Rhinolophus ferrumequinum: one gene and its partner. The protein of the gene in region 1 interacts with the protein of each later gene in a pairwise test. Links are inferred from orthologs where the notes say so. Each region holds a gene or a part of one and is shown in the gene's direction. Other genes may lie near its edges.

Region 1 (11,927 bases):
AAGAAAACAGGAACTTTTTTCACCAAAGTATTCTTTAGCTGCTTTGAGTAAAGAATGAATGAACCCTGCTGACTGGATCTGGTCAGAGCTGGGTTGGGGAGAGAAAACTGTATTTATGACCCTGATGAGTTACCTGTATTTGCCAAATACCAGAGAGCAAGAGTCAGGTACGACTTCTAAGACAGAAAGGATGTCCGCCTCCTGGTTTCCTCCCCTCTGAGGAACTTAATCCAATGAGTAGGCAAGACTGCCATCTGGTGGTAGAATCTGAAATTTTCGCTTTTTGGCGGTGGGACTAAAACCACCTTTTTTGTTTTCTTTTTGTTTTACATCGCATATTTTCACTTTAGCTTTCTAGTCCAAGAAGTTCTATATCATAATGCATTAAGCCTTGTTCCTCTCTCCAACCTCTCCTAGATCTTGACTTTTTCCTCGAGTTCCCTCAGGCTTGGAAACTGTTGGGTTTCCCTGAGTTGCAGGAACTAACCCCTGGGAGGTCTCTTTCAGGAACTTCAGACATCCAGCTGCCCTAGACCCAGTCCCGAGGAGGGGGCCCTGCTCGCTTTAAGAAAAAGGAGTTGGGAGAGATCCGAGCATGTAGATCTTTCCTCATCCCCATACACGCTAACCGGGTTTGGGGCCCCGCCCACTGTCCTGGTCTCCCTGGCAACTTCTTGCCGAGGTGCTCCTCTCCCTAAGTTACCCAAGCAACCTTCAGGCCCGCCTCCTTCAAGGTCCTGACTGATTCACAGCAAATGTGGGTTGGCGCCTAGGCGAGGCATTGAGGTTTGAAGGGCGTGAGCTGCCGGGAAGAGAAGCAGGAGGGTTTCAGCGGGAGGCTTGTGGGGTCCGTTATATCCTCAGGAAGAGGAACTGCAGGTCCTGCGAGCCAGTCACCAGGGTTCAGCCCAGAGACCTGGGCCACTCTCAGAGCTGACCGCAGAACGGGGAACCACTGTGAGGAGAAGCGACTCCTGCTGTCTTGCACCCCTACCACACAGGTCACCCCCTACACCCAAACTGCTTTGTTCATCAGAGCTCGGCTCAATGGGGAGTAACTCAGGATCCCTACTTCTATCTCTTCTCGATTTTTCCTCCTAAAGTCCCCATTTTTAGGGTCAGTGGACTCATTCTCAGACAAGGCAGGCAGGGATGGGCTGGGTCACTGAGAAGCGGCTGAGGGGAGGGGGCCTTCCCTACAAGGCTTGCTTCTCCCTGCCAGCGTGAACCTCTGGGAACGTGGTGTGTGGGGAGGCTATTCTGGGCTGGACGTGGTCTGTTGGTGGATGGACCCCTCCCAGCTCTCTGCCCACAAATCCCAACACCCCCTCTCCCTGAGAGGACCTCACTGTGTAATTACCATCCTCTCCCACACCAACTTCTAAACCCTATAATCGTCCTGCCTGGATCCACCCTGTTTAACCTCTTTAACCCCAAGGCCCGCTAAGAGAAGTTGGAGGTTTGGAGGAGAGAGCCAGTTTGTGTTTGGGGGAGACGGTGTAGAGTGGGGAACTCTGATAATTGTTTGGAGTCACACCTTTCTTTGCCTCTGATCTTCCAGAAGACACTCCCCACCCCGTCACTTTCCCCTTATCCTCTTAGGGCAGGCCCCGCCCTCCAACTCTTTCCCACCTTCACTCTCCATCTCCCCAGGCCTCCCCACCTCTACCTGTCTTTCTCACCTATTACTCCCTCTCCAGGCCCCTGCTGGGTGCTGAGGGCAGCTGGTCAAAGCTGTCCGCATTGCCCAGCTATGTTGGCAGGAGGCACCACTATTCCATCTGCTGGTCGGGAAAGGGAGGGTTGTGAGAGCAAGGTCCGCTTCTGCAGGGACTTCAAAATGCTGTCAGATGCGCTGACCCCACAGGTGACAAAGCATGACCTAGGCTGCCACGTGAGGGGGCTGGTGGATAGCAGAGGGGAACTGGAGGCAGGAATGTTCAGAGGGAATCTAATCTCCAGGAGAGCGCACAGGGCAGTGAAGGTCAAGGTTGTTGTCAGATGAGGGTGTGTGTGTGTGTGTGTGTGTGTGTGTGTGTGTGTGTGTAGCAATGGTGTGTGAACAAACCAGAATATCTGGCTGGGGTCTGGGAATGGGAACGTGAACAAGAAGTTAGAAATGTGAGGGCAGGACAACCTGGTCTGGGCTCTGCCTGGGGGTGCCAGTGACCCCCCACCCATTCAAACCCTGCGTCATCTCCTCACCCCTAGTTCCCTGAGCTGCAAGATCACATTCACAGGGAGGAGCCCAACGAGCTGAGAAGAGCTTGAGTGGATGCCCCCAAGGCAATGCCCTGCTGCACACCCTCCCCCCAGTCTGTGCTGGATGGCTCCCAGCATGCAGGGCTTCTCTGTGTCATAGCCCTCACCACTCTGCATTTTTTTGTCTGTGCCTACAGGTTGTAATCACTTCAAAGGCAGGGCCATGTCTTACTTATCTCCATATATAGTCCCGGTATCTGGCATGTTTAGGCTTTCAGTAAATGGATGGATGGATGAATGAATGAATGAATGAACAAGTGAATGAATTCTTCCTCAGCCCCTGCCTAGGCCTCTTGGCCTCTCAGTGCCAAGGAACAGAAACCCGAGGTAACTCCCCTGCCCCAGCATTGCCTCTCTCATTTCTCCCGTGTTCATCTGTGCTCCATCTCAGGAGAAACCTTAGTTGTGCGGGTCTGGGGCTCTCAGTGGAGACCGTTGCACTCATCAACCAACCATTCCTGGACCAGAACCGCACAACAGCCAAGCTCTTGGTGCAGGTGGTACACGAGGATGCAACAGGCTGCAGATGCCCGTCCTGCCCTCCCACTAGCTGGGCATCTGGATTGATCCCACTGGTAATTAGTGACACTGGCTGGGAGGAGGCTGGGATAGGAGCCAGACAAGGGTGTTGAGAAAGAGTGGCCAGAAGTCAGTGGCTGGAGGCACAAGGAGTAGAAAAAGGAACAGGGCAAGAAGGGAGGCGGAGCACTGAGGATGGAGCCTGGCAGTGGGGGGGCGGGACGGGGCGGGACTGGAATGGGAGCTCAGCCTTGGGGCTTGAACTGGGACTCTCAGCTCAGGCAGAGGTGGGGAGCAGGGGCCAAAGGAGGCTGGATTGTCCTTCTCAACCCTTTTCTTGGCCACCTTTAGTGGGGCGGAATCCAGGTTTTTCTCAAACCAAAGTCACTTTAACTTCCATAAATTTAAAAACAAGATATGAGAAAGCCTTGATTATTCTCAAGGTAACAAAACTGATCCCCTTCATTTCTTCTGTTATCTTCACAACCGTCCTGTGAGGTGAGGAAGGGAGTAGCTTTCCTCCTGCCTGCCTGCCTGCCTGGGAGGCAGCTGAGGCTCAGGGACAGTGAGAGTTTAGCAAAGTCACCCCACTTACACTTGTATGCATGAGGAGCAGAGCCTGTCTCGCACCAGGGCTTCTGACGTCAGGGTGCTTCTTGCTGGTGGTGGGTATGGTGCACCCAGCACTAAAGTTTGTGTGTCAAGACCCTGGTTCTTACCTGCAGGTTGCCCCTGAGTGAGTGGCTTCATTTTTTCAAGTCTGACTTTCTTTGAAGCAAGGATGTAAGGTGACTTTGGCAATGCTGATGTTCTCTTGGGTACCATGGTGCGGTGACATTCCCCCGACAGCTGGGGGAATCAGAGCTGCCATTACAGTGACTCCATCAACCAGTAGCTCAGTGCTGCTGTCTCCACAGAACCAATGTGGGGGCTGTGCTCAGCCCTGGTGCTCATCGGGTCTATCACTGTCTGAGGAGCCCATGCTGGGGTGGTCCCTGAGCCTTTCTACCAGTAGGACCCATAGAACCACAGATTTTGATCTAACCCTGACGTCTCGGGGCTACCATCAAGCACCCATGCTCCCTCATATCCAAAATGGGACTCTAGATTTAAATTTCAGGCCCCAAATTCAGACCCACCTTTTTGACATTAAGTTCCAGCCACCACCCTTCCTCCCTCCCCAGTGAGATGGCCGCAATGCTGATGCATCCTTCGTTTTCTTTCTCCCATCCCCGTCTCTTCTTCCTTCTCCCCACCCCTCTCCCTCATGTCTATTTTCCCCTCTCATATCCCCCAACCTTTTCCCTGTATTGCACCCTCCTTTATTCTCTCCTCTACCTCCTCACATCTCTCCCAACTTTCCTCAACCCTCTTCTTTCTTTATCTTTCCTCCTCTGCTTCTCCATGTCTTACTTCTTTTCCATGCTCCTGCCTCTGCAGGTGGCAGTTCTGAGTTCCCCTGGGTCTCTCCTACCAGGGCATCTGCTTCTCATCTCTGAGTTGGCCTCCTCCCAGTGGGACCCAGGCAGAGGACCCAGGGGCCCTGGTGAGTGGAGGGGAGAAGGTGTCTGGGCTCCCTGTATGGTTGTGGGCTTTAGGAGGTCTCGGGCACTGGTTGCAAGCTGCTGTGCATTGCATTGGGCCAGGCTGATGCCTGTGTGCTCTCAGATGGCACTACCTCACCACCTTCACTTGGGACACCAGTGGCCACCATGCCCTGCTTCTGGCCCTGGGTGAAGTTATGGTGGAGCTGGGGCAGCCTCGCTTTGCTTTGTGGGGAGGGGCGAGGGTACCCCTCTGTGTCATCTGGGTCTCTTCCCACTTCCTCTCCTTCTCCCATAGGTAAGCAGTCACCCAGTCAGTCCTTTGATTTGCCTCTGAAATGCTGCTCAGAGTTCTCTACTTTCAGTGGTTCCAGCCTTCACTAGCTCTTTGATGGACCTTGGCAATGATGTCCCAGCTATTTTCCTTTCCAGGCCACCTGACACCCATTCCTACTCATTTCTTTTTTTTTCTTTTCTTTTTTCTTTTTTCACGTCAGACGGGTAATGTGCCCATGTCCTAACAAGGTTTGAGGGAGGCACATCTCACACAAAAGCGTGAACACTCAATCATCACACTTATGAACTACCAAAGGATCCTACTCATTTCAAAGTAGGCCTAGTACTACTTTCGAGAGAGATAATTCACTCTCTTGAAACTTCCCAACACTCTCATTGCCTTTAGAATATTCCTAACACAGCCTTCCACATTCCCAACAGTTCTGTCCCCTAAACTGTCTTCCTTGTGTTTTCATCTAGTGTTCTGTGAAGTACTCCAAAATAAATAAGATGTATTTCTCCCTTTAACATTTTAGTATGAATCATTAAAAAATAGAGTAATTTTCTTACATATTTATACCATCATCATAGCTAACAAAAATATTTTCTCATGTCTAATTCTCAGTCCATATTCAAATTTGCCCAGTTGTTCCCAAAATATCTTTCAGTTGGTTTGATTGAATCAAAGACCAAGCATTATACTTGGTTGTTATGTATCTAAAGTTTCTTTCTTTTTTTTTTTTTAAGAGCTTGCTTCATTTATTTAATGTGTCTGGTTAGCACCTGCATTTGGATTTTTTTTTAAATTTATTGGGGTGACAATTGTTAGTAAAGTTACATAGATTTCAGGTGTACAATTCTGTACTACATCATCTGTAAATCCCATTGTGTGTCCACCACCCAGAGTCAGTTCTCCTTCCATCACCATATATTTGATTAAAGTTTCGTTTTCTTTTTCTTTTTTTTTTCTAAATTACATGGAACGCTTCACGAATTTGCGTGTCATCCTTGCGCAGGGGCCATACTAATCTTCTCTGTATCGTTCCAATTTTAGTATATGTGCTGCCGAAGCGAGCACTAAAGTTTCTTAATCTTGACTTTAGACCACCTTCCCTCCCATCTATCTTTTACCACCACATCCTTCCTGAGCCTTTTGAGCCACCCACTCCTATCCTGCCATGGACTTTAAAACTACTCCTTTTTTACATTTGGCCCTTTCCTTGTCCTTGGAACTGAGAGCTTGCCCCTTTATTCTCTAAAGTCACCTCAGAGAGCACCACCCACTTCTGTGAAATTCTTTCTTTTCTTTTTTCATCCCTGGGCTGAGGTACCACTTGTCTCTCCCTCTGGGTTCATCCAGCTGCCACCAGATGTTTCTGTCTGTTCACAGTATGGACTTGGTTCTGCCTGCTGTCAGAGGGTAGGGCCACTGACTTCCCTGCCTTGCTGCCCCTGCCCTGTGCCTACCATATGCCTGGTATCTAGAGGCAATACAATAAAGAAACCTTTGAATACTCCTTTCTTCAGCATCTTCGCTCCTCCTCCACAGCCTGCCTCCTATAACTGGGAAGCAAGGTCCAGAATGGGCGTGGTGTGTTTTGCTGGAAGGTTGTGATCCTGGAAATTGGCGCTCAGCACAGCCCAGATCTCCTTCCTTTTGCTCCTACAGTTTCTTTCCTTCTTTGTGTACACACACTGAGACTCAGGAAGTGATTCTTGAGGCAGGATTGTAGGAACCTAAGGGGTGGGGCCCAGGCTGGGGGAGGGAGAATGTGCTGGCTGCTACTGTCCTTGGCCTATTCACACAGCAACTTCTGGGGACCACCACCGCACACAAGGGAGGGAGGCAGCTTGAGCCTCCCACCTCCACTTCCAGCCTCGCCTGGCTTTGCACTCTGGGATGAGAAGGCTGTCTGCTAGGATGGGGTGGAGAAATCCAGGGGGTATATGCCATGTCTCTCTTAGTGCCCATCCACCACGACAGGCTGATCAAGGAGTGGTGGGAGCACAGACCTTGTCAATCTTCCCACAGAGGGAGGGACCTGACTCTGCTGGATCATAATTGATTGGATGGGATGGCCTGGTGAAGGGTTTTCTCCCCTTCTCAGCCAGCTACTCAGAAGCCCTAGAGAATGGAGAAGAGACTTAACAGAGGGGGACAGAAACACCGCTGTAGAATGTTGGGGACTCCCAGGGTATGAGGCTGGGAACTTTCTCTAAGTGTTTATTCTGGCCCCACCCGATCCCAGGGAGCCAACAGCGCCCTCTGCTGTCGGGGAAGGAGAGGGCCTTGAATAGAGATGGAGCCCGAGGAAGGGAGGGGGCTCTGGTGGAGGACTTGGAGGTCTCTGGCCGACCATCTTGTCACCTTGCCTCAGCTCCGCCGCCCGGCCCGGGCACTCATCCCTGCTTTGGCTCTCACACGCCTCCTCCGCTTCCCTGAACCAGAGAGAACCCAGCAGCGCTCCGTCGCACTCTTCTATACTAGTTGGCACAGGATTGGAGGCGCCAGAAGAGACCCAGGCACCCAGAGGTCCTGCTCCTATTGCTCTTACTCGGCCGGGGTGGGTGCTGTCTTCCGGGTCGGGGCCACTTGGCCCTAACCCAGCGGGGGTTCGACCCTCCCCTCCGCGGCCGGGTGACTCAGGCCGCAGCTGTTCCCGCATCACATGAGGGAGGCCGGCGGCCACTCGGCGGGGGAGGGGGCTGGAGGCCTGGGCGGGGCCGCGCGGCGGGCGGGGTCGGAACCGGGGGGGGGCGCAGCTAGAGAACCCCTGACCGGCGGCGGGAGAGGAGCGCACAGCCTCGAGGAGCCCAGGTGAGGCGGAGGGGTAGGTCCGCTGCGTCGTGGTCGTCGTCGGATCGCCGGCAGCCCCCTCCTCCAGGCTCGCGCCGGCCTCCGAAGACGCGCGGCGCTCCGGGCAGCTCCGAGGCCCTCGCAACTTTGAAAAGTTCCAGAGGCCCGAGTGGGTTGGGGTGCCGGCCGCACCTATTTTTTTGGGGTGGTCAGAGCGCAGGGGAAAGTGACGGGCGGTCGGCCTTGGGCTGAGGACCGTTTTCGGGAGTGGTCTGGCGGGGAGGGGTGCTTAACTCTTGGGGCTGGCGGCCGAGAGTCCGCGCCCTCCGGTCTGCCCCGGGCCGCGGGGCCGACGGGCTGGTGCGGGCTGCTCCGCGGTCGCCCCCACCCCTTTCGGGCCGAGGAGAAGAGGGGGCTGGGAGACGTAGATCCGGGTGGGCGGGGCCGGGAATGGGGGCCGAGTAGGGAAGGCCTCGAGGGCCGGCAGGGAGCCCGGAAACCGAGGGCCCCCTCGGCGAGTTCTAATCCCCCTCCCCTCCCCTCTGCCCCAGGCCCGTCAGCCATGGCGGTGGAAGGAGGAATGAAATGTGTCAAGATCTTGCACTACGTTTTTCTGCTGGCCTTTTGCGTGAGTGGGGAGTGGGGACGATGGGGGCGTGCTGGCAGGGTGTGGGAAGACTTGGCTTCCGAGAGCTGAGGGCTGAGGGACCGAGAATGAAGGCAGCTGGAGACCAGATGTGGAAGGAAACCCCGGGGAACAGCTGAAAACAGCACGGCCACCCCCTCCTCCAGACTTCTGGGACCTCTGAGGCTGATTTGGATGAGAATGGTCAGCCTGAGTGCGCAGCATCCTCGCTCCAGCCCCTCCTGGCCCTTCCTGTCTGGTGACCCAATCACTTGTGATAGGGGCAGTGGGGCAACCAGCCAACGGCTGATGTTATCTCCAGGCTACAGGACTACTCTGCCCTCCCCAGCCTCCTTCCTCCTTTCTGGCTCTCCACCTCCTCATTCCTCCTCATTCAATCACCCTCTTCACCCCTCCCAGCTGCTTGTGGGTGGGGAAGGGCTCTGCGCACCTCAGTTTGCTCTTGCTCCTGCCCTGAGAGGCTACCATTCGTCCAGGGAGGGGCACACTACGCTTGTCGCCTTTTCCCTGGCCTAGCTGGCTGGAGGAACCCTAATCACAGCTGATGGGGATGGGTTGGGCATGGAAGATGATGAGAGGGCAGTTCTGGGAACCCATGAGGCCCCCAGGAAACAGTCCTCTTGGTTAGGAACATGTGCCCTGGGGTCAAGGCGTTATGGGAACTTCTCTTGGGTAAGGATGGGTCATCTTCCTCCCCCACAGTCCAAAGTTTCCTGGAGGGGTGAGAATCTGTCCTTCCAGGATGGGGTTAAGTCTGTGTCCTGGATGCACCCAAGGGTTATGGATTGTGGGTCGGGGCTAACCCTGCCCGCCACTCTTGCAGGCCTGTGCAGTGGGACTGATCGCTGTGGGCATAGGGGCCCAGCTCATCCTGAGTCAGACCATCAACCAGGGGGTCATGTTGCCTGTGGTCATCATCGCAGTGGGTGCCTTCCTCTTCCTGGTAGCCATTGTGGGCTTCTGTGGGGCCTGCAAGGAGAACTACTGTCTCATGATCACGGTGAGTAGGGTGTGGGGCCAGTGTGGGTGCTTGGGACTTCTGGAATGTCACTTCCCTGGGGGGCTCACGAGGGTGGGTGAAGTGAGGAAAATCTGTGTGAGTGTTCCAGAGACTGGCTGGGCCACAGCTGGCCCCCCTTACCCAGACTCCAAACCTGACTCCTGTCCTTCGCTCCTGCAGTTTGTCATCTTCCTATCTCTTATTGTGCTGGTGGAGGTGGCTGCAGCCATTGCTGGCTATGTGTTTAGAGACAAGGTAAGTAGGGAATAAGGGGAGGGCCCTGTGTCAGAGGCCTGGCTGCTCTGGCACCCAGGTGCCCTGAATTCTGACCTCAACAGTGTTCCTCCCTACTCCCAGGTGATGTCAGAATTTAATAAGGATTTCCGGCAGCGGATGAAGAACTACCCAAAACAGAACCACACGGCTTCGTTCCTGGACAGGATGCAGGAAAATGTGAGTGGGGCTCCTGGGAGCAGGGGTAATGGGAGAAGGAGATTCTTATCTCTATATTGAAGGTGGAGGTTCACTTCACAACCTCCCCCAAATCTCTCCTCTCTCCCAGTTCGAGTGCTGTGGGGCAGCTAACTACACAGACTGGGAGACCATCCCTCTGGAACCCAAGGGCCGAGTCCCTGATTCCTGCTGCGTCAATGTCACCCAGGGCTGTGGGATTAATTTCAGTGTGAAAGAGATCCATACTGAGGTAGGGAGGAGGCTGAGCTGAGGTAGCAGGGGACTTGGGAAAATTGGGAAATGTTTTAAGAGGTGAGAGGAACCAGGAACTGAGGTGGAGAGGGTTGGGGCTCTGGGAAGTTGGGGATCAGGGATGGGGAGGGGATATAGGAATGCTAGGGGTGGGGTGAGAGGAACAGAGGGTGGGGGAGAGACAGATGGACCACGGGAGGTGGGTGGGAGGTTCCTGATTGTGTTCTTGCCCTTGGTGCCTGCTACCCTTCAGGGCTGTGTGGAGAAGATTGGGGTCTGGCTGAGGCGCAATATTCTGCTGGTGGCTGCAGCAGCCCTGGGCATTGCCTTTGTGGAGGTGAGAGGTGCCCTTGGGACTCATTCCAGGGCATCTGGGAAGTAGGGGCAGTGGGCAGGAGGGTGCTGAGCAGGAGGTACGGTCTGGGGTGGGGAGCCCCGGGTATATTTAAGGTCTCTTGTGTGGGTTGGGGGTACCTTGCCCTTCTGACTTCTCTCCATCCCCCCTCCCTATCTTTCCTTCTAGGTCCTGGGAATTGTCTTTGCCTGCTGCCTTGTGAAAAGTATCCAAAGTGGCTATGAAGTGATGTAGGGGGTCTGGTCTCTTCAGCCCCTCATCTAGGAGAGTGGGGTCGTATATTCCACATTTTTCAATTAAACGGATTATTTTTTCAGACTGAAAAGACAGTCTCAGTTTATCTTAAAGAGTGATACTTTATCCCTTCCCTCCCCTTCATGTTCCTGTCTTCTGGGACCGTGTTCTATTTGTACCTCCGGGACAGGCAGGCCTATTTCAGGGGGTGTTGGCAAAAGGGGATTTTGCTGAAGGTCTTGGTTGGGCTGGCAGTGGAAGCAGGGATTGGGAAGAGGTTGTGGCCCTCTGCCCTCCCTGCCTCCTGCTCCTGTGCTGCCAGGCTCAGTGCTGCAACATTCATGAAGCCATCTGCAAAAGTCAAAAGGATTCCCCACAAAGGTTCTACTTGGGAGAGGCCAGCCCACTGTGTACCATCTGCTCCCTGGCCTTCTGTTCACCTCTGAGAGCCCAGCAACTCCCTCCCCCACCCAGGGGCCTCGCTCCTTTCAGGATGGTGATAAGTTGCTTTGACACCTATGTGGCCAGTGTCCATCCTTCTTGACTAAGATTAGATAACAGAATGGAAGTGGGTATTGCCTTTTTTCCCCATGGAAATCACTAAGCCTGGTCCTGACCCCTCCTCACCACCTTCCCTCACCCCGCAAGAAAAATATATAACTGCTATTCCCACTTCAGACAATGAATTGCAACATTACTCCATGTAGAAAATAAAGGAAATGTCCAGTAATGCCCTCTGGTGGCCATTCCTTTAGGTGCAGTTTCAAAGATCACCTGGAGAGGCAAGACGGCCACCTTGTGCCCCGCAGTGGGTGCTAGTTTAGCAGGCACTAAACAGGCCAGAGACCTTGGGCAATAAGGCAGCCTAGCGTAGTTAGCACTCAAATTGAGCACCTTCATCTTTGCCCACCTGTTTTTTTTTTTTTTTTAAACAGTACACATTTATTGATTGTCTATTTTATGCCAGGTACCAGGCAGTACCAGGGTGGGGACACATAAAGTTCTTGCACTTGAACAATCTCTTGCTGGAAGGTTGGGTTCAATAGACTGCCTGAGCAGGCTTGGGGAGGACCCAGGTGAGCACAGCATCCACCAAGCTGGCTGGCAGGTAGGAGGCTGGCAGCCAGAGCAGCTTGGCATCCCAGCCTGGGCTGTAGCGGGTTCTGGGGTGACGAGCAGTCAGGGCATGCTCCAGGCACCTGCTCACCTTGGTTAGGTCCGGGTCACAGATCAGGTTCATGACACGCTGCTGCACTTTCAGGTCTGCAGCCCAGTGGGTGGTTGTAATTACATCCCTGTCCCACTGCAGCCCATCTCAGGCCCTCTCGTGGGTCCTGGGGCTTGTTGCCCAGTGGAGATGAGAGGAATCCTTAGTCCCATGCCCATTTTGGGGAGTGGGCAGGCTCCTCATGGCCGGGGTGGCATCCCACTCATCCTCACCCCCTTCCTGACTTCCCTGCCCACCTCCTCCCGGCAGGCTGGTGCAGGACTGACCCTTCTGGCAGGCTCATTTACCTTCATACACTCCCTATGTGGGCCCAGCTACTTACACTTGGTGAGGAAGTCCTCTCCATAGTGGGCCTGAGTGG
Region 2 (12,041 bases), on another chromosome or scaffold:
AGTGGCATGGAGGAGCCCACGACCTTGGGGAGGAAAAGGGACCCAGTGAGGAGAGAAGTAGGAGGTGCATGTGAGGGGGACAGTGACAAAGTACTTTAAGTTGGCAGAAAGAATGGTGGCTGCCACGGAAATGAGCTTCAGTTTGAGAGGCACTGATGCGCAGTGCGTAGAAGGCTGATCTCCTGCAAGGTACGGAGTCATCAAATTAGGACCCATAGGCCAAATCTGGCCCAGCACCTGTTTTTGTATGGCCCCCACGCGAACGATGGGTTTTATATATATATTTTTTGAATCAAAGAAAGATTTCATGACATGAAAATTACATGAAATTTCAATTTCAATGTCTATACAGTTTTATCGGAACACAGCCACATTATTTTTTTAACATATTGTCTGTGGCTGCTTTTGCAGAGTTGAATCGCTTCAGTGATACCATTTGGCGGCAAAGCCTAAAATACGCACCGTCTGTCCCTTGACAGTGTTTGCTAATCCCTGCTTTATAGTTTGCTAGGGGCTCTGTTCTTTACAAAGAACTTTGTAGTTGACATGGTACTTTACAGTTTACAAAGCTCCTTGCCCTTTACAAAGGACTGTGAAATATATGGTATGTTTAGAGTTTAGAAAGTGCTCTGCAAAGCGCACCATTGATTACAAAATGCTTTACCTCGTATAAAGCACTAGTGTTTACCAAGCACTCCGAATTTTCAAGGCATTTCACAGTTTACAAATTGCTTTACTGTTTACCAGGGGCACAGTTGTTTACAAAGAGCTTTAGAATTTTGAAAGTGTTTTGCTCAATAAGAAGGACTTCCCAGTTTACAGAGCTCCTTTTTTATAGTTTTATAAAGCACCTTGCTGTTCACCAAGCACATCCTAATTTATAACGTATGTTACAGGTTACAGAATGCTTTAGTATCAGCCAGTACTCTTTACAAAGTATAGTTTACAAAGTGCTTTACTGTTTGCCAAGGACCTCTCAGTTCACAGAATACTTTAAAGGTTATTAAGTGCTTTGCCATTCACCAATGGGCTCAGTTCACAGAGCACTTTATAGTTCAACGAGTATTTTGCTATTCACTCAGGATGTCCAAGTTCACAAAGCAGGTTAGAGTTTACTAAGTATTTTTCCATTTGCCAGCGTGTCCCAGCTCACAAGGTACTTTACAGTTTATTACACATTTTGCCATTTGCTGAGGACCTTCTGGGCCATGGAGTCCTCTGCCGTGCACCTGCTCCTCCCTTTATTCCTCTTACCAATCTCTGGATGCTCCCACCTCAATGATGTGATCCCTTCCGTCCTTGCCATGCAGTGCTTCCACGGCGCAGATGTCCAGTCCCCCAAAAATCTCTGAGCACGTATCCACCCATAGCTTGTACCTGCCAAGACATAGGGCAAGGAGCCTGTCAGTGCCTTCCTGGGCAGCCACACTCCCACCTCACGTCCCCTCCCCGCCGAGTTCGGGCCAGCCACCTGTCAGACATGGCAATCTGCTCGAGCATTGCAGAACCAGTGTTGGTCTTCCAGTTTCCTGACACTGATGTCCTCCTGGCGGGCAAAAGGAGAGAGGGCAGAGACTCAAGGGGACCTGGGCCACCCAGGGCAGGGCAGGGGACCCCTGCTCGGGCCTCGGTCTCTCCACTCACATATAGGCCTTGTAGTTCTGCCCAATCTTCTGGATGCGCACATCATATTTGGCATCAATGAAGGGCTCGGCAGTGGCATATGTCTTGGTCAGTGCCACGACACTTGCGATATCCTGGAAGTCATGCTGGTTGTCCACCTTGACCTGTGGGAGTGGGGTGGGGATCAGAGCCTGGGCAGGGTGGCACAGCAGTGGGCACTGGGGCTGCCTCAAGCAGGGGCAGGCACACGAATGACACAGGTGAGCTGAGTACATAAAAATTTGGTGGACACACCAAGGCATTCACACATGCATAAAATTCTGGGCCTCCTGGTTTTTACATGTACACACAGACACAAAGGTGTGTGTATACAACTCTGTGAATATAATAAACACTACTGAATTGTCTACCTTATGTGAGTATGTTTTATGGTATGTGAAGTATATCTTAATAAAGCTGTGTGAAAATTGTATATACGGTATATGCATACAGACACAAAATCAGTTGCACACACAACATACAAACAGAGAAGCATGGACACACTCCAACATAAAAATTACAAGTCTGCTTTCTATGTACACAGAGACAAAATCAGATGTATAGAAAGCATGCAGTACCACAAGACCCTTGAATGTAAAAGATCACCTAGTGTGTGTTCAACACAGGCATGCATATACACAGATAGAATGCTATATACACTAACAAAATAACAGGACACATAAACTTGGCTGAGAGCATGATACAAAATTGGGCCAACAAAATCTAAGAATGTGAGGGAAAGGATACAAATAGATAAAAACACCACAGGACACACAATCACATAAAATTACCCATGTGCATTGAATATACAATATACATCTACATACATGAGCACAATGCCAGGAGTGTACACCATGTACGAACACACATGGACACCCCCCACTTGGGGACTCACCTTGCCCATCCCGGAGTGTGCATGCCCCATCTTCACAACCACGGGGTATGTTGTGCTGCTGAGCTGGTAGGATGGAAAGGCAGAGCATGGTCAGGGCAGGAGGGCTGATGGCCAGGGCTGGGGTGGTGCTGAGGGGAGCCCATCCAGCGGGAGCCACATTAGGAGCCATTTCCCAGAAGAGGCAGGTCAGAGACAGGCATACAGCAGCTGGGGGTCCACAGCGCCTCCTAACTCAAAATCAAACCCAGAGCCCTGTCTGTCTGGCTCCCCCTCCACCACCCCCAAGTTCCAGACTTTCTGCCTCTGCTTGGATAAGGGTGGGAGCCTTTTCCGGAAAAGGGAAAGTTTGTTTATACAGTGACTGGATGATAGAAAAGTGAGTGTGCATGCCTGGGGCTGTGGTCGTGAGCATGTAGCAACTGGACCCTTCAGCCAGGCCTTGCATGTTAGCCTTGTCCACATGCATACACAACCTAGAGACACACACACAAATCCCTAGAACTCAGATCTACACGATCAAACCCAGAGATGCCCACGCAGGTTGAGACCCATGAGATGGAGAGACCTGCAACCAACACAGGCTCCAGAGCCCACGTTGCTCTCCAGCTGCACCGGCACCCAGTCATTCAGCCCAGCGCTCCAGGCCAGCCTCCTTGCCCAGCAGCACACACTCAACTGTTTTGGGCGCAGACACATACACAGCCCTCCTCCCATCACCCAAATCCACACAACAGTTAGAGGGACACACACAACATGAAGGATTACCCATGCAATACAGAGACAACCCTCAAGGCACAGCCACAGAACGCAAAGGCACACACAACTCGGACAGGCACACACAACAGAAGTGGACACGTAGTCAACACTCACAGACACACACGCAACACTCCTAGGCAAACTCACAACAAACAGAAGGACCCACTCCACATACAGAGGTACACACACTTCTAGGTATTCACAGAACCACTGAGACCCATAACACGGACACCCACACCACACTCCTGGGCACACAGAGTATCTAGGGACATGCACACAACATGCCTTGTCATATGTACAAACGGAGAGGCATACACACAGCTAGAGACACCCACATCCCTCCTAAGCATACACACAACACTTGGGTGTGTGCATGCGCGCACACACACACACACTCATTTGCTCACACATTCAGGTACAGGGATATGTCAAGTCTCCCTGATCCTGGGCGGGAGAGAGGGAGCTGAGTTGGGCGACCCCAGCCCCACACAGTACAGGATGCACATGGGGCTGGCCGTGCCCGCCCTCTGCTGTGCAGACTGCTGCCCCACAGCGTAGAGATGGTATTCCCTATTCCCGGAGGGGTGGCGAGGGCGGTGGCGGTTCCCGACAGGCACAGGAAGCCCGCAGGCTCAGGGTGACCGATTGACCTTCAGGCCTTGCCCGCCCTCCTTCCCGCATTCCCACCTTCCTCATTTCCCAAATGACTGTCGTCATTATGGGGCGCTGAGAGGAACCGTGTGGGGACGGGCTCGCGAGGATCGTCTGGGTAGTGTTGCAGGGAAACACTGCAGAAGCAGCGTGTGATGTGTGACGTAACATTCAGGCAACACTCAGCTCACAGAGGGGAGCAACACATCCACAAGGATATGTGCAACCTAGACCCGCTTTACAGAGGCACACACAACTCCTAGAAGCAACACAAACACACAGGGCTACACACACCCAGGTCCACACATACACCACACATACCACCACCTAAAGGCAAACATTCGACTCTCAAAGGCAGAGACACAGCAGAGAGCTGTGCACAAATGCACACACACAAGCCCAAATTTTCTAGGCTCCTCTTTTCCTAAACCCTCCTTATTTCCTCTGGACCTGAGCCTGAACACAACACTGTGGATGTGTATCTGTGTGTGTCCACTCGTGTGTCTGTGTGTGCCCGTACGTGTGTATGTGTGCCTGTGTGCCCGCACGTGTGTCTGTGTGCCTGTGTGTGCCCGCATGTGTGTCTCTGTGTGCCCACACGTGTGTATGTGAGTCTGTGTGTGCCCACACGTGTCTGTGTGTGCCTGCACGTGTGTATGTGTGTGTGTGTGCCCGCAGGTGTGTCTGTGTGTGCCCACACATGTGTGTGTGCAGGGAGCCCTGCACTCTGGGATCCCCTAGAGAGCCCTAGCTTTGAATCTTGGTCTCTCTTCCTCCTAAGGCCATGGGGGATCCTAGGCAGGTCACTTAATCCTCTCTGGGCCTCAGTTTCCTGATCTGTACAAAGGGTACAATCAGGCACAAGCACTTAGTGTGCTATGGGGATTGTCAGGTGTCTGCTCTGCCTACCTAGGTGGGCCCCATGGCCCCCACGGCCCCCACGCAGCTCCCCAGATGGTCACACACATGGACACCCCTCCATGAAACCCTACCAGTTTCAAAACCTGCACAATAAACCAGATCCACACAACCCCTCACATGTAGACAGTCGGCGAAACTCTGTGCTGACTCATGTTTCAGAATCACAAAGCTGGCGTCAGAACCAGCTTTGGGTCAGTGAAGTGCTGCAGCAGGACTTTCCCTTCTTTCACTTCTTCCTTTGGTCCCGACACTGACTTACTCAGCCCCCTGTCTCATTCACTCTCACTCCGCCACTTTCACAATCAGCTTCTCCAAATTCCTGGTTTACTTCCTCCCCTACTTCAGAGTAATTTCTTCACTCTCATTCCTGGGCAGGTCACTCAATCCTTTGTCTCAGTTTCCTCATCTGTATAATGAGAATATGAACAGTCTCTAACTCACAGGGATGTTGTGAGGAACCAATGAGTTGTGAAAAATGCTCAGCACAATACCTGGCACACAGGAAATCTGCATCCTCTAAAAGTGCTGGGACTATTATTATAATAGTGCTGGGTACTATTATTGGTAAGCCAACACTAATTAACCAGGAGGCAATCAGGATTGACTGAGAGATAAAATACTAAGATTATAGAACGGTGCTTGATAACCAGTAAGCACTCCTCAAGAGCTGGTGGTAGTTTTTATTGTGGTGGTATTGTTGTTGACTGAGTTAATCCAGCTTAATTAGCCAGGGGGTATTGCAGATTGAATGAGAGAATTTACACAAAGACTTCAGGGCACAGTACACAGTAAGTGCTCAATAAGTGATGCTAACAACTACCATTATTGTTATTATTGGTCTGTCCTCCTTGAACTAACGAAGGATGTCAATCTGCCCTCAGAGCCCTTTCCCAGGACCCCAGGGAAGATTCAGGCAGCATCTGGAAGCTGTTGGGCAGGGATTGCCTCACCCCACCATCTACGTCTACCGGGGCGTTGGCGGGGGGTTGGTGGGGCAGGGGCAGGGCAGGACGGGAGGGTATCAGTTTTCTCCTGACTCACTGGCCTCTTTCACCACCATTCAACTCCCCCCACTCCAATGCTCATTAATTCACTGGCACCTTCCCGCTTGCCAAGCCTGCGTTAAGATCCTGGCTCCAGTTGGCCTAGGTTCAAATCCCAGCCATTCCCTGTGATCCTGGGAAAGTTCTTCAATCCCTCTATGCCTCTTATTTCCTCATCTGTAAAATGGGAATAATGTTGGTACCCATCTCAGAGGCTTATTGTGAGCTTTAAAAAAACCGAATTATAGTTGACATACAATATTATATTAGTTTCAGGTGTGCAATATAGTGATTCGATATTTCATACATTATGAAGTGATCACCGTGATAAATCTAGTTAGCATCTGTCACCATACAAAGTTATAACAATATTATTGACTGTAATCTCTGTGCTGTACATTGCAGTCCCCTGACTTATTTATTTCATAGCTGAAAATTTGTACCTCTTAATCCCCTTCACCTATTTTGTCCACCCCCCATCCCTCCTTTTTTTTGACAACCACCAGTTTGTTCTCTATCTATGAGTCTGTTTCTCTTTGGTTTGGTTGGTTGTGTTTTTAAGATTCCACATATAAGTAAAATCATGCGGCATTTGTCTTTTTCTATCTGATTTATTTCACTTAGCATAATACCCTCTACTAGATCCACCTATGTTGTCACAAACATTGTGAGCTTTAAGTGAGATAAATGATGTTGAGTGCCTGGTACACAGTTGGTGCTATGTAAATGCTGACTATTTGCCTGTGTTTTTTGAGAGGTCATTAAGACCCAGGCTCTGGCTCCAGGCCACCTGAGTTCAAATCCCAGTTCTGTCCCTTATTAACTGTGACCTTGGATAAGTCACTTCATCTGTCCATGCCTCAGTCACTCCAGATTGTATTCTTCCTCCATTCACCTGCTTTATCTCCCTCCACTGCTTCTACTCAGCCTCCTCTCTGCCTCCCCAACCCTGCACCAGGATGTCGGGTGTATCAGAGAGGAATTTTTGCTTTTTCTTCTTTTTTTTTAAGGAGGGCACAGCTCACGGCGGCCCATGTAGGGATCGAACAGGCAACCTTAGTGTCATCAGCATCACGCTCTGACCAACTGAGCTAACCCACCACCCCTCCAGAGAGGAATTTTTGTGTGTGTTTGGCATACAGTAGGTGCACTAGAAATGTTCACCGACGAATGAACTAATTCAGGCTTCAGCCATGGGGAGTTTGGGGGTTTGTGGGTGATTGGATAGACTTTGGAGAAAGTTTGGAAGCTTTAGGGAATTGCACGGGGGGAATCCTGCCTCTAAGCCCTCCATTGAGGCCGCCTATGGGGCCGATTTGGAGATGGGGGAGGGGGATGACCAGGGCGAGGCGCAGGGGGAGGGAGAGGAGGGTGAAGCCCGTTTTCGGCAGCCCTCGGCCCGCCCCTTGGCCTCCACTGATGGTGGGCGGATGAGTAATGCGTCCAGGAAGCTTGGAGGCCTGTGGTTTCCGCACTACTGCCACCCCCGCCCCTCGAGTGGACATTTATCCTCCGCTGCTCTGGCCCTGCCGCCATCACTGCAGACCCAGCGCCCAGAGAAGCTACACCGAAGGTAGGCAGGGGCCTGCCTCTGTGGCAGCAGGGCCTAAAGCAGAGCTCGAGCTTTCCTGCCTCGGCTGCCGGACACCTGGCTGCTCAGCCTGGCTGGGTGGGGGTGGAGGGGGGTACCAGGACCCTGGGCTGGTCAAGGGAAAGGGGGGGAGGGTGCTGGAACTGCTCCCCCAATCCCGGCACTCCAAACTCCTCCGAACCCCTGACATCCATCCCAACTCTCCCAAACTCACGAAACCCTAATACAACAGAAGCCTCCTAAGCGGCCAACTGCCCTGAACTCCCTCATTGCCCCCCAAGCCTCCAGACTCCTAAATCCCCAACTCCCTAAACCTGGAGACTCATCTGCTCCCAAATCCCTCTGGCACCCCCACCCTCTTAAACCCCCCAAGTCCCGCAACTCCCTAAACCCCCTCAGCCTCCCCAACTCCCCCACCTCCTCTCTCTCTCAATATGCACAACTCTGAAAGTCCCAACCTCCCCCAAATTCCTCCAGCTCAAAAACCCCAAATTCCTCACCCCAACTCCTCTCAACTTTCCGACTTCCCCGACCCCCCTAAATCCCCTAACACCACAGCCCCATAATCTCCCCCACTCACCCAGTCCCTTAAATCACTCAAATTTCACAACTCTGAAACTCCTGACCCCCTAAACTGTGGGCTCTCAAATCCCCACCCCCACTTAAAATCCCCAAACTCCCCAACCCCTTAATCCCAAGTACAGTCACCTCATCCCCCTCCAGGCTGCTTGGTGGTGGTGGTGGGGGGGACAGGATGGGGTGGGAGGCCTGCCAAGTCTGAGGATCAGCTGGGCTGGGGGCCTCCCTGACCCCTCCTCCCTACCTCTGCAGAGCCCACTATGGCCCCCTTTGCGCCCCTGGTCTCCGGCATCCTGTTGTTGCTGTGGCTGGCAGCCCCCAGCAGGGCATGTACCTGTGCCCCACCCCACCCGCAGATGGCCTTCTGTAGCTCCGACCTTGGTGAGTTACCCTACTCTGCCCACACGCTCTGTGCTTTGTTTTCCGCCTCAGTCCATTGGGGTTCACGACAGGGCTCACCTCTAGAACAGTTCCAAACTCAGCCCTACCCTGACTCTGCTTTTGCCACACTGGCAACCTCATGGTTCCCTGATTACTCCAGGTCCAGTCCCAGCTCACGGCCTTTGCACTGGCTGCTCCCTCTGCCTGGTACCCCCTTGGCCCCAGGTATCCATATGGGTGGCTGCCTCAAAAGTCACCTTCTCAAAATTTTAATCCCTGTTTCCTAATACTCCTGATCCCCTTTACCCAACTCTGAAGTCTCCCGTCATACTTAATACCTTCTAACATTCCATAGACTGATCTATTTTGCTTGTGTTTAGTCTGCCTCCTTCTGGCTAGAATGTGAGCTTCACGAGGGAAGGGATTTCTGTGTTTTGTTCACTGTTGTGTCCCTAACACCCAGAACAGTGCCTAGCACACAGCAGGCACTCTAGAATATTTGTTGAGTGAATGAACACGTGATGAATATATGAAAAAGGCTTAAAGCAGTGCCTGGCAGAGTAGGCACTCAGTATATAGGTAAAGCAATGAACAGAACTATTAGTGTGTTGTTTGGCATCCAGTGATTGATATCTATGTATGTGCTTTGTTAGCATGACTGTTGTGATTGTTTTAGTTTTATTGGCTCACGTAGTTCATTTGACTCATTTTACCCCCTCTTCTCCGGCAGTCATCAGGGCCAAGTTCGTGGGGACCGCAGAAGTCAACCAGACCACCTTATACCAGCGTTACGAGATCAAAATGACCAAGGTACCCTTACTGCACTTTCCTCAGCAGTTCCTAACATCTTTCTCCCTGTCAAAGAGAGAGAGAGAGAGAGAGAGAGAGAGAGAGAGAGAGAGAGAGAGAGAGAGAGAGAGAGAGAGAGAGAGAGAGAGAGAGAGAGAGAGAGAGAGAGAGAGAGAGAGAGAGAGAGAGAGAGAGAGAGAGAGAGAGAAAGAAAAGCCTTTGGCTGTTGGTTGGTGAGCAGGAAGTTAGCTGTGATCTCAGGATGCTGGTATATGAAGAAGATAGAGTGGGAGGATTATGTCAGTAAAAGAGACTCTTCCCCTCATCCATCGACAGATGTTCAAGGGGTTCAGTGCCTTGGGGGATGCCCATGACATCCGGTTCGTCTACACCCCGGCCATGGAGAGCGTCTGTGGATACTTCCACCGGTCTGAGAACCGCAGCGAGGAGTTTCTCATCGCTGGTGAGGCCCCGCCCCCTCGCCCTGGGCCACGCCCACCCGTTCCTCAGACGCTGCTGGGTATCCTGGGCCCGGCGAGGCTCTGAGGGAACGGTCCCAGTTGAAATGGGGACCGCCCCCAGCCGGGTCGGTGCTGCAGGGACGCCAATTAGGCGCCGCCCTGACCCCGGCCTAGCCAATCAGAAGCTGCCTGTTGCCTCAAACCACCCCCCCCCCACCACCCCGCAGGACAACTGTGGAAAGGGCACCTGCACATCACCACCTGCAGTTTCGTGGCTCCCTGGAACAGTCTGAGTTCTGCTCAGCGCCGGGGCTTCACCAAGATCTATGCCGCTGGCTGTGAGGAATGCACAGTGAGTGCCTGGGCCCTGCCCACTACCTGGAGAGTGCTCCTTGGACTCTTCCCCAAACCGTGGCTTGTTTCTTGCTCCCTCTAGCCATTCCTTGTCCCTTTGGCTGCTCCCCAAATCCTTGGGCTGTCCCTGATCTCTCCTGCTGTTCCCCCAGGCCTGAGACCGTTCGCCTAACATTCTGGTTGTACCTTTGCTTGGCTTCTGATACCTGAGGATTCGCTGTTCCCTGGACTTTCTGGCTGCTTCCTGTCCCTCTAACTCTCCTTTGCTACTCTTCTATAGTCCTGATGTCTGTTCCTGACTCCCTGAGATTGTTTCTTAGTTCCTAGAATGTTCTCCAAGAACCCAAAGTGCTGTTCCCCAACCCAATGACTCTTCCCCAGCACATCTGATTCTTGCTTTCCAGCTGTGACCGTTCCACACCCAAGGGCGAGTTACATTGTCCTTCTGACTATCCTGGACTGTTCCCTGATGGCCCTGAATGTCTGCTGACCCCAGTGACTGTCTGAGGTCCACGGCTCCTTCCTATGCTTAAGTTCCCCACCCGCTAGCTGTTCTCTGCTGCTGCGAGTTGTTCCCTATCCCATGGGACAGTTCCTCAGGAGATTCACCTGACTGACCCCTATGTCTGTGCCCAACCACCAGGAAATGGATCCTTTTGCTAGATTACTGTCATATCACCGAACCCAATGACTGCTCCCCCAATGGGAGGGGCTGTTCTTGAGTCTGTACCCAGGTGGAGTGATACCAGGTCTCTCCAGCAGCTCAATGTTGAAAGCTGAGGAGGGGAAGTTCTGTTCTGTCAGGGAGGGCGGGGCAGGAGGACAAGCCCTCAGAGATGCGCGTCTCTTCCCTCTTCCAGGTGTTTCCCTGCTCATCAATTCCCTGCAAACTTCAGAGTGACACTCACTGCTTGTGGACAGACCAGATCCTCACAGGCTCTGACAAGGGCTTCCAGAGCCGTCACCTTGCCTGCCTGCCACGGGAGCCAGGGATGTGCAACTGGCAGTCTCTGCGGCCCCGGATCGCCTGAATTCTGCCCCCAGCAGAAGCCAAAACCTGCACAGTACTCACCCCCTTTCCACCTCCTGTCTTTCTTTCTTTTAGACAATGAAATAAAGACCTACCACTCAGCAGGCAGTGTCCCTGTGCAGTGTCTGGGAACAAACTTATGTCAATGATGACCTGGTGGAAGTACCCTGGGACCAATGCTGAGGGGATGAGGGGTGTAAAATGTTGGCTTTTTATATTTTACATAAAATTTGAGGTATCGGTAATAATTCTATACATTGGCATTAGCATTAGTGATCTGCAATGTCAGCAATTTAACCTGTGTTATCAACCACAGCTTACTGGATAATCTCTCTACTCAATACTTTAAAACATTTTACTGATTAATTTATAATTCTTATTTGCACAAGTTCTAGTTCATAAATTACCCACTGCTGCCAAATCACTACCTCACTGACAAATTCCCCTGTTCACAAATCCCTCTGGTCCACAGGCTCATTGACAAATGCCCCATCAATGGACTAACAGTTCTCCTTGTTTCGGGTACCGTCCTGATGCCATCCAGTGAGGGCGTTCTGCCCCGTCCAAATCTGTGGCTGTTGCCATCTCCACCCTTAGGTCTTATACTGTGAGTCTGACTTGAGTGAAAGGGAAAAAGCCCCAGGGGTCTGAGACAACCCCCCAACCACATAACCCAGCCAAGGACTCTGGAAGAAGGGGTGGCCCTGCCACACCCCCCAACCATGGCCTGCAGGAGACTCCTTGGAAGTGGTTGTTTGGGGAATAGGAAAGATGGGGAGAAGGTATGATCTGGAAATCCCCAATCTCTGCCCTTCTCCCCCTTCTCCTACCTCTCCTTCCCTCACTTCTCTGACCAACTTTGACAGCAGTGAAGTGCAGATAAGGGTTCAAAATCAGACCCAACCAGGTACGTTAGCCCAGCCACCCC

What was found.
Region 2: the proteins of CD63 (region 1) and TIMP1 interact in binary tests that used the Homo sapiens proteins (3 or more experiments, as listed by UniProt). The link is inferred for Rhinolophus ferrumequinum from reciprocal best matches to the Homo sapiens genes CD63 and TIMP1.

What each region holds. Positions count from the first base shown.
Region 1 is NC_046293.1:55,214,463-55,226,389, reverse strand, and holds CD63 (CD63 antigen), read left to right. Parts: upstream 1-6,907; 5' UTR 6,908-7,165; intron 7,166-7,309; exon of another isoform or gene 7,310-7,419; intron 7,420-7,425; exon of another isoform or gene 7,426-7,567; intron 7,568-7,949; 5' UTR 7,950-7,960; coding exon 7,961-8,026; intron 8,027-8,867; coding exon 8,868-9,044; intron 9,045-9,224; coding exon 9,225-9,299; intron 9,300-9,401; coding exon 9,402-9,497; intron 9,498-9,606; coding exon 9,607-9,747; intron 9,748-10,002; coding exon 10,003-10,086; intron 10,087-10,272; coding exon 10,273-10,338; 3' UTR 10,339-10,433; downstream 10,434-11,927. Other genes in the region: RDH5 (retinol dehydrogenase 5), read right to left, coding at 11,378-11,601, 11,889-11,927. UniProt on the Homo sapiens protein: Functions as a cell surface receptor for TIMP1 and plays a role in the activation of cellular signaling cascades. Plays a role in the activation of ITGB1 and integrin signaling, leading to the activation of AKT, FAK/PTK2 and MAP kinases.
Region 2 is NC_046284.1:86,404,235-86,416,275, reverse strand, and holds TIMP1 (metalloproteinase inhibitor 1), read left to right. Parts: upstream 1-7,329; 5' UTR 7,330-7,365; coding exon 7,366-7,501; intron 7,502-8,350; coding exon 8,351-8,479; intron 8,480-9,209; coding exon 9,210-9,289; intron 9,290-9,604; coding exon 9,605-9,731; intron 9,732-9,956; coding exon 9,957-10,081; intron 10,082-10,943; coding exon 10,944-11,114; 3' UTR 11,115-11,217; downstream 11,218-12,041. Other genes in the region: SYN1 (synapsin-1), read right to left, coding at 1-23, 1,275-1,377, 1,472-1,546, 1,645-1,787, 2,558-2,620. UniProt on the Homo sapiens protein: Metalloproteinase inhibitor that functions by forming one to one complexes with target metalloproteinases, such as collagenases, and irreversibly inactivates them by binding to their catalytic zinc cofactor.